Drosophila melanogaster: one gene and its partner. The gene in region 1 interacts genetically with each later gene. Each region holds a gene or a part of one and is shown on either strand. Other genes may lie near its edges. The genes, in order: sl and Pkc53E.

The links.
Region 2: of sl (region 1) and Pkc53E, changing one enhances a phenotype caused by changing the other (phenotypic enhancement), as found in Drosophila melanogaster (one study listed by BioGRID).

What each region holds. Positions count from the first base shown.
Region 1 is NC_004354.4:16,346,553-16,352,926, reverse strand, and holds the start of sl (small wing), read right to left. Parts: upstream 2,613-6,374; 5' UTR 2,342-2,612; coding exon 1,037-2,341; intron 679-1,036; coding exon 198-678; intron 133-197; coding exon 1-132.
Region 2 is NT_033778.4:16,922,067-16,928,440, reverse strand, and holds the start of Pkc53E (protein C kinase 53E), read right to left. Parts: upstream 3,517-6,374; 5' UTR 3,404-3,516; intron 3,315-3,403; exon of another isoform or gene 2,696-3,314; intron 2,096-2,695; 5' UTR 1,834-2,095; coding exon 1,634-1,833; intron 317-1,633; coding exon 290-316; intron 1-289. UniProt on the Drosophila melanogaster protein: PKC is activated by diacylglycerol which in turn phosphorylates a range of cellular proteins. PKC also serves as the receptor for phorbol esters, a class of tumor promoters.

The DNA of each region.
Region 1 (6,374 bases):
GATTCGGGCGATTACGTCGCCAGAACGAAAGGCTATAGTCTCCCACAAACGTGGCCGATTCCCGAACCAAAAATGTACCATCGCCAAAGTGTTTGTACTTCTTTAGTAGATCATCAGCCTCCTTTCTGCCACCTAAAATGCAAATTGTTAACGAAACAAATGGAATATACTGCATATATGTCAACCAATAAACGCACCTTCAAGTTTCCCATGGAACCAATTCTCGCCGAAGTGCAGCTCATCGTTGGCCGAGGTATCCTTTTGCTTTTGCTGCATATTGCTGTTTAGGGAGCACGACGAAGAAAGCCCAAAGTCATCATCCTCGGAGTTTCCGTTGCGTGACTCGTTGATCTCAGAGGAGTAGATTAGCTCCTGATGGGTCAGAACGAACTGATAAAGATTCCAGGACTTATCGACCGGATCCTTGAAGTAGAGCAGTCCCTCCTTGAACACCTTGCGCACATTCTCGCCATCGTTCTCCCCATGCGCTCCACCGCCCGCTCCGCCCAACGATGATCTATGGCCCAGTGAACCCGTGCTAGAAATCCCATTCGCGATGTCGTCAAACTGCGGCAACTTCTTGTGCTTCAGGATTATCTTGCGACGCAACTGGTATGGCGATGGCAAGTGCTGCTCGTTTCGATCACAAGGTTGCGTAAGCAGCATATCCCCGAAAACCTGTAATGGGTCATAAAAGGTATAAGTCAATGGATTTTTATGCGATTAATACTTAAAGCATCAAGAAATATCTAATTACCATCGTCTTGAAATCTAAGTAACTAAAAATATTGCTCTGTTACATTTATAATTAGATTCAAACGAATAAAAAGCGAATTCTTCATATTGTCATACATATTCCCAACTATCGAAATATACAAAATCCATTTCAATTATATATTAAGTTAGGCAATCTCACAGAAAGCCATAAAAGAACTCATTATTACAGCGAATGAATCAAAAAGCAAACATGCAGATCTCCTGTTTGCATGGAATATATAAATTGTTGTTATTAATAGATTCGATTAGGTCAACTTACCTCGATCAAGGCCTGCGCCATATTCCGCTGCTGTTCCAGGGAGCAATTCTGCTCTATGGACAATATTACCGGATACTCGGAACTGGTGAACGCATGATCCTTAATCGTCTTGATGACATCCATGAACTTGATCTTGGAGGTAATGGTGTGGCCGTGAAATATGTAGGGCAGATTGTCGGGCCCGTTCCAACAATCCAACTCGATGCAACGGCAGCCCATGCGAAGAGCGCGGGCGTAGGCCTCGCAGGAGGATTCACTGGAGAACTGATCGCCCGTCAGGTAGGTATTGTGCGACGATGCGATCCAGTAGGAGGACAACGGCAGGTTCATGTCCATGAACACTTGGTCGTACTTGCTGTTCCACAGGTCGTTTTGCTTGGAGAACAGAAAGTCGACGAACTCCGGGAAGGTGAGATACGGCTCCTGAACATCACGTTCCACGTCCTGAACAAAGTCCCGAATGAAGGAGGCAATGGCTGCGCTACTGATCTCACTGGCGCTCACATCGCGCTGTTCCGTCTCGAGGAACTGCTTCAGCTCCGCCGGTCGCACCACCTGTTGGTCCTCCGAATAGGGAAAGTTGGCCACTCCCGATCCGGACAAGACGCTGGCAAATCCGTTGGGCAGCAGCAACTTCTGATATAGCCGCGAGAAATCATCAAACTTGAGATCGTGCTTGCGCCGCACATCCTCGGTAAAGTGCTCCATGAACTTGCCGGTGGTCATCTTACAGCTAACTCCGGCCAAAAAGAGCTTAAAGTCCTTAATGGTCACCTGGGCTGGCGACTGTTCCGTGGCCTTGGCGGAATGCGTGTTAACATTCTCGATTTGATAGTACTCGCGACGCAGCCAGCGATCAATTTGCAAGGGATAGGGTGCTCCCAGTGTGTCCTTAACCATGTAACGCAATCCCCGCACCCAATTGTCGGCCTCGATCTCCGACAGAGCCACCACCGAGAAGCTCTTCAGCTTGAAGTGATTGCCGTGCAGTATGACAAAGCACTTGCTGGACTCGAAGCGCTGACAGTCGTCGGCAAACAGGCGAAACTCCTTCGAGTGCTTGCCCACCCGTATCTCGCGAATCTCCCGCAGCTGTATGGCGCCCTCGTAGTCGGTGCGTGGCGTTTGTGTGGCCACCGTTGCCCAGAGCAGCTGTCGTGTCTCTCGTATGAGCATCAGGTGGCGGCGATCCGGACGACGCTGTTTCCCATACAACTTGGTCACGATGGTGCCGCGCTCCAGCATACCAATGGTCTGCTCCATCTCGCCCAGCAGCGGGGCACTCATCGCACTAAAGCAGCTCATCCTGTCCGGTCCAAACGTGTCGATTCCTATCGAATCCAGTTCTCATCCGCTGGCTGCCACAGGTTGTTTCTCGCCTCGCCAACCGATCGCCAGACTAAGTGCAATGCATACAAACTATGGGTGCCAGCGCGTGGAACTATTCGCAGATCAACTGCTCCCTCTCTTCCAACTGGTCGATGCACAAATCACGGCCACTGGGACTCAATAAACCGAGATTAACAATGCAATATCCGAATTGTACCCAAAAAATACCACAGAAGCAGATAAGATAAGCCAGCTGTTGAGGAAAGTGCCAGTGTTGCCAGGCCGTAATGTGGGTACAGAAAATACTAAATCCACGCAAATGGGGCGTTCACACTGCGGTGTATTTCGAATTGTGAGGAAATAAAAAAATAAATTGACTATTTTATTTAAAAGTTTAGCTTAAAAATTGCTCCATTGTTTACATACTTGAATAACTGAAATATTAAAGTGTGACCAGTTTTATCTTTTGTTTTGAAGTGCGATTCAAAAATTCGTTATGTAAATAGTATTCCTAGTTTTGAATAAAGCAAAACTAAGCATACCAACCAAATCGAAGAAGCTTAAAGCTTTTATTATAACTCACCTTATGTAGATAGGAAAATAAATCCCGACCTGAAGAATTCCTAACTAACTAACTTGAAACCAAACGAACATAAGTTTTCTTGATATTGTATTTAAAATAGATTTACAAATTAATAAGCTTAGGCAATTGACTGATTGTTGTTGTCTGCTTTTCTACCTGTTCACACATGAACACGAATATATTTAAAGACTTACAATTTTGGGCTCCGTTCATATCTTATGTAAATGAATCGAGAGCGATAAATTATATTTAGGATTTTGTTATCTAAGGCGACATGGGTGCATTGCTCAAAAACATGTAATTTAAGTGCACACTACATGAGTCAGTCACTTGAGATCGTTCCCCGCCTCCTAAAATAGTCCCTTAGTGGGAGACCACAGATAAGGTCCTCGCCGCTCAAGATAGGCAGATGTGCCCGAGCGTGGGACCTCGATAAGGCGGGGACTATTTACTTAGGCCTCTGCGTAGGCCATTTACTTTAAGATGCGATTCTCATGTCACCTATTTAAACCGAAGATATTTCCAAATAAAATCAGTTTCTTACAAAAACTCAACGAGTAAAGTCTTCTTATTTGGGATTTTACATTTGGTCAATCGAGCCTTTAATCGACTCTGCAGTTTCCCCCTACCAAAGGTAAGGAACTCAGAGAAAGGCCAGCTCCTTTAAGCATCTTACAGCTAAAGGTAGCAAAAATAAGTGACTCTTGTTTCCCCCTACCAAAGGTAAGGAACAGAGTATAAATATAAAAAGCAAAAGATACAAAAGAATCTTTTATGTTTTAAAACAAGCACCTTATAGTCTATAGCTAAAGGTTGCTTTGTGTACCATTATAAATTGTGGTAAGGCGTGCTTGAGGCCATACATCAGCAATTGTGAAATTAAAAAGTGCATAACAAAAGTGCCTTATAAATGCTCTAATAGCATTAAATCAGCTCATAAATAGAGTGCAGTGTATATGCCATAAGAGCATAAATTAAATAAAAAGTGCCTGAAAACAGTGCCTTATAAATGCTCTAATAGCATTAAATCAGCTCATAAATAGAGTGCAGTGTATATGCCAAAAGAGCATAAATGCCGAAATAAATGGCTAAAAAACAAAAAATCTGACTGGACTACAAAAATAATAAAACGTGCAAAAAAAAAAAAAATCATCTTTAAACATCGACGGAGCCTTAAAGAAGAGAAGGAAGTCAAATTCAAAGGAGCCTCTACCAGCAGCAGAAGCAGCAACAACAGCAGCAGCAGAAGCAGCAACAGCAGTAGCAACAGCAGCAACAACAGCAGCAACAGCAGCAGCAACAACAACGACATCAGCTAAGTCAAAACAAGAATTTTCTGTTTATCCAAACACACATATATATATAAATACATATAAAATACATATACACGTACTATATATATTAAGAAATTACAAAAAATTTTCAAAATGATGTCAGAAAAGACTATTCAATTCCTTAAGAAGCAGTCCGAAATTATTTTGGAAATTAGAAAGTTGGAAGTAAAACCAACATTAACAGATGTAGAAATTCTAAAATTAAATGAGCTTCAAAAATGTTTCATTGCTAATCATAGCAATTTGTTAAAGATCGGCGTTGTCGATCATGAATATTTTAACGCGAAGCAGTATGATTTAATAATGATGGTGTTAGAAAAAATTAAAAATAAAAATGAAAAAATTAAGGGCGAGTCGGTAGAAAACACTTTCCCTAAATCAAACACTGTCCCTAAATCAAACCCTCCCCCTACATTAAACCTTGAAATACGTGGTCACCCTGAAAAAGAGGGTATAGCACAAAACAACGCTTTAAAAGTAGAGCAGGCATTTCGTAATAATGTTGGCCAATTTCGAGTATATCTAGAAGATACGTCTAAACTAATAGACAGTAGTCCAGATTTCCTTAAAATAAGGAAAAATAAAATTGAATTTTTATGGCATAAAATAGATAACCTGATTGAACAGGTGAATAGTCATTTTGAGAGTTCGCTATTCGAAGAAGAAATTAGCGAACTTGAATTTGACAAACAAAATATTCTTACAGCCATTAATAGTCGACTCAGTGGCACAATAAATAAAGCTGAAATGTCGACGGTTGTTAAGGCGGAGGAGTTACCAACCCTGCCTAAAATACAGATTCCCACCTTCTTTGGTGATTCCAAAGAATGGGATCTTTTTAATGAACTCTTTACAGAGCTCATACATGTGAGAGAGGATCTCAGTCCTTCTCTCAAATTTAATTATCTAAAGTCAGCATTAAAAGGAGAAGCCAGAAATGTGGTTACTCATTTACTGCTCGGCTCTGGAGAAAATTATGAAGCCACTTGGGAGTTTTTGACCAAGCGATATGAGAATAAAAGAAACATATTCTCAGATCATATGAATAGGCTTATGGATATGCCAAATTTAAATTTAGAATCCAATAAGCAAATAAAGACATTTATTGACACGATTAACGAGTCAATTTATATTATAAAATTAAAGGCACAATTACCAGAAGATGTGGATGCAATTTTCGCTCACATAATTCTTCGGAAATTCAATAAAGAATCACTCAATTTATATGAAAGCCATGTTAAAAAGACAAAAGAAATACAGGCACTTTCTGATGTCATGGACTTTTTAGAGCAAAGGCTCAATTCTATATCATCATTCTCACAGGAAGTAAAACCTGTAAAGAAAATGATTAATAATAACAAGAATAAAAATTATAGTGACAATTGTGCATATTGCAAACTACCAGGGCATTATTTAATTCAATGCCATAAATTTAAAATAATGAATCCAGCAGAACGGTCTGACTGGGTAAGAAAAAATGGGATTTGCCTAAGATGTCTGAGGCATCCGTTTGGTAAAAAATGTATAAGCGAGCAGCTTTGTTCGACTTGTCGTAAACCTCACCACACGTTACTTCACTTTGCAGGTCATAATCCAGAAAAAGTGAATACGTGTAGAACAACAGGTCAAGCCTTGTTGGCCACGGCCTTGATTCAAGTAAAGTCGAGGTATGGAGGCTTTGAACAATTAAGAGCATTGATTGATAGTGGCTCTCAAAGCACAATTATTTCAGAAGAGTCTGCACAGATTCTAAAATTGAAAAAATTTCGGTCTCATACTGAAATAAGTGGAGTATCTTCCACAGGAACGTGCATCTCCAAGCACAAAGCGGTTATTTCGATAAGAAATTCTCCGAAAAATTTAGAAATTGAAGCAATTATTCTCCCAAAACTTATGAAGGCACTTCCAGTCAACACGATTAATGTTGATCAGAAAAAATGGAAGAACTTTAAATTAGCCGACCCCGATTTTAATAAACCGGGTCGCATTGATTTAATCATTGGAGCAGACGTATATACTCACATTCTGCAAAATGGAGTTATAAAAATAGACGGTCTCCTTGGGCAAAAAACTGATTTCGGGTGGATAGTTT
Region 2 (6,374 bases), on another chromosome or scaffold:
TGGCTTTAAATTGTCAACGAAAACGCTCTGGCATTATGACACTTTGCGGCAAGATAGAATGTGTTTGTTTATTAAATATGCATTAATATCACTGGAATTGCTCGTCAAAGTGTCTGTGGTTGGCGGGCAATTCTGGCTGTGAGAGCTGAGTGGCGAATTAATTAATTTGTGTGGGCGAAAGACACTAGAACTTTCATTAATGGAATGATTCTACGCTTCTAACGAGATTCTCTAGCATTACAAAAATGGTTGGCGAATATAGAATATAAATATCCTTTGGAATACCTACATCCATGCATATCCCGACTGATAGCCGCTGTAAAAACCAAATTTCAGTTCAAAACTCATGTCAACAAATAGGAATTCAGCGCAGAAGCACGAATCTGATGTTTCGGAGGTGAATTTAATGCTCATGAAATTGATTTATAAGCCGTGGCGAGGCTGGCAGGCCAGGAAGTGACTACTGGGACCCAGCTGCCAGGACTTCCAGGAGTAAACAGGCTGGCTCCACGCAATTTCAGTTCATTTCTACCTTGCCCTTCTGTTTGTGTTTGCCTTGGGACCAACAATGGATTAAAACCGATTTCGGCAGCCTCACCTGCATTAAATATTACACAGGTTGGCTTTTGTTTTTCTTGGCCTTCTGTAGATTTTGGCTGAAATTTTGGGCCAAAAAGTATCTCAGCGTAATAACTTGACTTGTGTGTTTAAAGCTTTTTGCATATATTAAGGTTAGACTCTAGTTATTTTTATTTAATTTCCTATTTAAAACATTTTTATAGACTTTTCATAGAAATCGAAATGAGTCTGTTCCTCTTTGATTTTCTAGCAATTAGCTTCTATTTGTTTACATACTTTTTGCAAATGATTTTCTCGGAGGTATTTTTACATTTTGCTAAAATGCTCAAATAAGACTTTCTGTATTTCATTTAATTAAAAAACGTAAACATTTTAAATATTTTATGATGAATGTTAAACCATACACACAGTACTATTTTTCTTGCATTTAAGCCAGATTGCTTTCATATTTGTACGCCTATGTGTGCTAAACAACTAAAATCTCAGATTAAATAAGTCTCAGTACGTTATTCATTTTTGAAAATTGAGCTTTGTGAGCTGCCTCCTTGTGTGTTTTTGGTATTTGCTGCTGTGTGTTCCTATTATTTGCCTTATTCCCCCATTGTTTCTACGGCTCGTTCGCCTTGTCAATATACATTTATCGATTCCCGCCACTGATGTTATGTGGACGCATTGCTGGCCATGCTTGGTAGACCCACAAGTGCCGTGGAGGGAAGTGGGGCGTATTCGCATATGGGGATAGCTCTCTCTCTATATGTGCTTGTACACCCGGAGAAAATCATTGGTTCATTCGAATAGTGACCTTACTATGACCTACCCAAACGAAATATATGTATATCTTAAGCCAGCTTGGTACTTTTTCTCAAGTAGATTAGGTCAGGTCATGATAGGATCAATATTCCCTTTGGTCATTTAAAACTTGCACGATCCCGATATATTGGTAATAAATCCATTTAGTTAGTCAAGAGGTAAGCTAGTTTTTCCCCGGGTGTATGCAGTTGGTTCTATAAGAACGATGCATAAAGATGCCACTTTAAGGATGCGAATCACTCACCAGATAAAGTCCTTGCAGTGGGAGCAGAACGTGGGCTGCTTGAAGAACCGGGCGATGAAGCAGTGATCCTTGACATTGAAGACGTTCTTCTTCTTGAGGGCTCCTTTGCGGAGGCGGGACTTCATTTTGTTCTCGCCCACCGCCTCCCCCTCCGCCCCCTGCTGCTGGGGATCCCCGTTGTTATCGCTGCCCTCCGACATTGTTGCTAAATGTTCTTTTTTTTGCTTTTTTTTTCTTCTTGTTGCTTTTTTGTTTATTTGTTGGTGTTTTTTTTTTCTGCACAACGGGTATTTCGCAGCGTTTACAAATCGCAAAGGTTCTTTAACTTGCTCACTTGTTGTTGCCGCATTTGGGTGTTGTTGTTGGTGTTGTTGTTGCTGGTTACGTACTTTTTGCTGGCTTTGTGTTTATTGATTTTCAGTTTTTGTTGTCGGCGTGTTTTTATTAGACATTAAATGCCATCTAACGTTAATAATGGGCGAGAAAGAGAGAGAGAGCAATAATAATAAAACCAAACTGGACTTGAGAATTTCGCTTTAATTTGCCCAAAAGGCGATTTGCATAATTTTATTAATCACTGGCCGCACGTTCGCCGTTTGCTTAATTATTTTTCACTCGCGTCCGGCGCATCGATTTCAATTGATTTTTCTCATAACAAGTGCAGCAATTAAACAAAAACTCAAGCACATGTCATCCGCGACAAACAAGCTCATAATTAGCATTAATTTTAATGCCTCAACGGTTGAATATACAAAAGAATTTCCGAAGGGGTTTTGGGTGGTTAGGTGAATGGGGCACCTTTTCGGCGGAACATGGGCCAAATAATAACTGGCAAATAATATAATTTTTCCCAGCTTGTTGAATGAGAGGCGCAGAAAAAATGAAAAATCGAAAAAAATGTGACGAAGATTGAGCGCGCGTGCAAATAAAAAAGCGATGTGCAAACGAAATAATTTTTATTTCAATGTTTTGCTTTTGTTTTTCAGCTTTATTGAAATATTTGCAACGCCAATTTTTGTGTGCTTCGCTAACAGACACGTTCTTGCTGGCCACTGCTCTCACCTGTGCAGGTGGGCCCACTTGGGATACGATGGTGCCATACCCTGTAAACATAAGCAGTCGGCTCGGTGGCTTACTAATGCAAACACTCAAATAATTTGATTTAATTCAGCTATAACATGATAACACTCTGAGAATTTTAAAATAAATAAATCCTTAGTCAATTTAGTCCCAATTTAAGCTTTAATTATATCAAGAAATGTTGGCTAATTGCAAAATAATTGGTTCAACTCAATCAATGAACTAATTGAAACATTTTAAAGCAAGAACATTTTCATCTATCCAAGATGTACATTTAATTATCTAATCAGCAGTAAGTACAACTCTATTGCTACCCTGCATACAACATATTCAGCATTGATTGCAACCGCAAACTAAACCACAAAAAGGACAATTCAGGACTCGACTGAAACTCTGTGTTAGCAAAACTATCATAGTCTTTGTGAGCGAAATGCAACAGTTACTATCATTTCCGAACGACTTGCGTTAGCGCGTTTTTTTCTTCTTCTCCATTTGTGGAACACATTTCCCTTCACGTTTTCATGTCACTTTTTTGTGCTTAATGGCCATAATGGCTATGACTGCTTTTTCGTTATTATCCCGAGGGGTATTATTAGAATTCCTTGTGGTTAATAGTGCTTTGAATTTGGTAGTAACTTGTCTAGTTTCAAGCACTTGTTCATAACGACATGTGGCGTTTATTTTGTTTACTTTTTGACCGATGACTTAGTGTGATTGGTCTTATTTAGACTACGGCTACACTACACGCACGGGCTGCGAAAATGCGAGGAGCAACTGCCTTTGCTGGCGAACCGAAACGTAGTGAGCGTGCGAGCATTTTCACACGAGCGGAAAATCCATGTCCATGGACTGTGGTGAATTTCCCATCTGTTGCCGTCTCCCTCTTTCTCGCTCTCCGGGTTACACAAGATTTCTTCTCGCACGCACTAACACTCACACACATCTGTTGTTGTTGTTATTGCTGGAAAATGTAGGGGCAGTTTATCCCCAGCTTTTCACTTCGGCCTCCTGGCACTGCGAATTTGTATCGCTTTCCCGGCACGTGCGCTTCGCTCGAGACACAAACACGTTCTGACCAACTGGCACTGGCCGTCTTTTCTGGAGCGCCATATTCGTAGCGAGCTTTTGGGCGCACTGTTAGCCAAAAGCAACAGCGCTGTTAACGCTCATTTGCATTGCGGCCAACTGATTAACATAAGTAAACCCATAGCGATCCGAAACGTCAGACCCTGGAGCACCGATGACGCTCTTGGCCGCTAATTGATCCGACTGAACGAAACTTGTTAAATGGCCACGATCCAGCCGGTTTTGGGCCGAGTTTGCAAAGGCTGCTCTAGCCATTCGATTGCGTTGAACAAGAAGTGATTTGATCTATAAATGGAATCCCCCTCGTGGCTGATCGGATTGTGAGATAGGGAAATTAGTATATACTTATCAATTTGAATGGCTCTCAACTTTCTAACAACTTTAGCGAATAAAATTGAATCTCAAGACTTCAATGATTAATATAAAACTCAAGATGTTAATGAAATGAAACAAAGGCCTTTATGAAAATAGCAATGTATATTTTGCATAAGCTTATATGTCTAAAGCAAACTCTGATAAGATAACAAATATTCCATTTACCATAATAATTTCATTTTAAGCTTTAATTGCCTTGACGCATTTATCACATTATTGCGAAACACTGATTGACGCGCCTTATAAATACTGTTGCGCCTCATAAAAAGTAGATAACTATCCAAGCCCTAAAAAAAGGCAACTCAATGCAAAAAATTATTGTATCAAAAACATGGAAAATTCTCTGGAATTATGGACTATTTAATTATATGTGGAATTTTAAAATTTTGTTCGGGTATCAAGCTATAAGGTTATATATTTTATTTTATTAATGTTGCTAAATCGACGTTATCATAAAATAACTTTGGAATTCGATGTAGGAATCTAAAAAAAAGGTTGAGCATGATGATTCGTTTCTTATCTCGTCACTTCTCACTTCGTAACTAATCGACCTAATTTACCACTTAATACCTTATTGTTCCAATGCTCCCAAGCCCGTTTATATATGCCCCAAACTGGAGGAGTGGATATTAATTCGCGCTGGGGCGGATCTTGGCTTACATCTGCCTAACCGCAACCTTCGCCGCGGTTAACTGTTACCCACTACCTGTTACGTGCCACATGCCCCTGCCTTTAGCCACTTGGCTTTGGTGGCACATCTGATAGCCAAGTGTCACGTTTCGCGGCCCGACTTAAAATCAAGCTGGGGCGTTGCTACGAAACGAATCGAATCGAGAGCGCAGCTAATGCAATAATTATTTATCTGCTTTAGAGACACGGACAGACCATAAACTATCACAACATTTTCGCTTTTCGGTTTGTCGAGCGGTTTGGCTCTAATAGAAAGACCAAATATTTGGGCGGGCAAATAAATAACCACTGCACATATACGCTAGCCCAAAATTGGAGATAAAATATTGTGGTAAAATCACATTGCCAATCGCTGCGAAAACCATTTGCCAGTCGACATGTAAATGGCCATGTTGAAAGCCATCGGAATTCGGTTGCATAGATAGAACACCAAATATATTATACGGTAGATACTATAGCTGATAGTGTTGGCGGCACTCGGCCAAGTAGATAGTAATTTATGAATAATTCGCTTTGGATATCACAAAACACTGGGTCATAAATTTCAATTGCAAGCGGGGCAATTAAAATCCATTGAAATGTTTTCTCGGCGGGAAACCATATTAAAAAACATACGGCATTTCGGGTATGATAGTTGTAAACAAGCTTGTTGGAATGGTTAGTATTATACAGGGTATTCAACAGTCGGCGCTTATCTCATTCCTGACTCAAAAACCTTTTCGACACTTTGCTTAACTTATGCCGGACCGGAAATGCTGACAAAACTTAGTATCTATAAGTATATATGAATAGGAAACACTTTGCTTACAACAAATGAAAAAATATCACAGGGTAATTGTGAGTGCGATTCCAGCATAGTTGGATGTCAATAAATTATATCGACACTCTGCTAATTTCTGGAAATCTTTTCAAGTGCACTTAGCCCACATCCGAACACTTTGTAAGAGTCTCATGTGCGGTGGCTGCTGTAAACTTAAACCTGCGAAATCATCTTAAAATCGATTCGAGTTGTTTGAATGGTAATTTCCAATCAGAATGCCATACTTTCACTCAGCTGCTCTCCTTTTTCTTCTGATTTATTTTTATTTATTTATTTATTTTTTGCCCTCTGGGCGATGTTGTGACGTCGCTTTTGTTATTCCCTGTGTTGGGCGGCTTTTCCCGCTTTCGAGAGCTTTGTGCAGCTTTAATTTTCTTTATCAGCACAAACTGAGCATTTTTCACACGCACAGAAAACACGGAAAAGCGGCATAAACGACAAAAAACAGACAAATTTCAATTAAAAGCGTGGGCAGTGGCACAATGGGCGTGTCACTCACGCATAATTGACGCAAATTGTGGCAATCAAGCCAACAATCAAAGTAACAAAGCCAATCTTATCGCACATTTCACCACTGATGGTGATTAACGATTTGTTTATTTTAAGTTATGCAAATGTATACGAATTTTAATTGAAATTTCATTACGCTATTGTTGTTTTTATTAATAAATTATAATATTGGGTCAACTG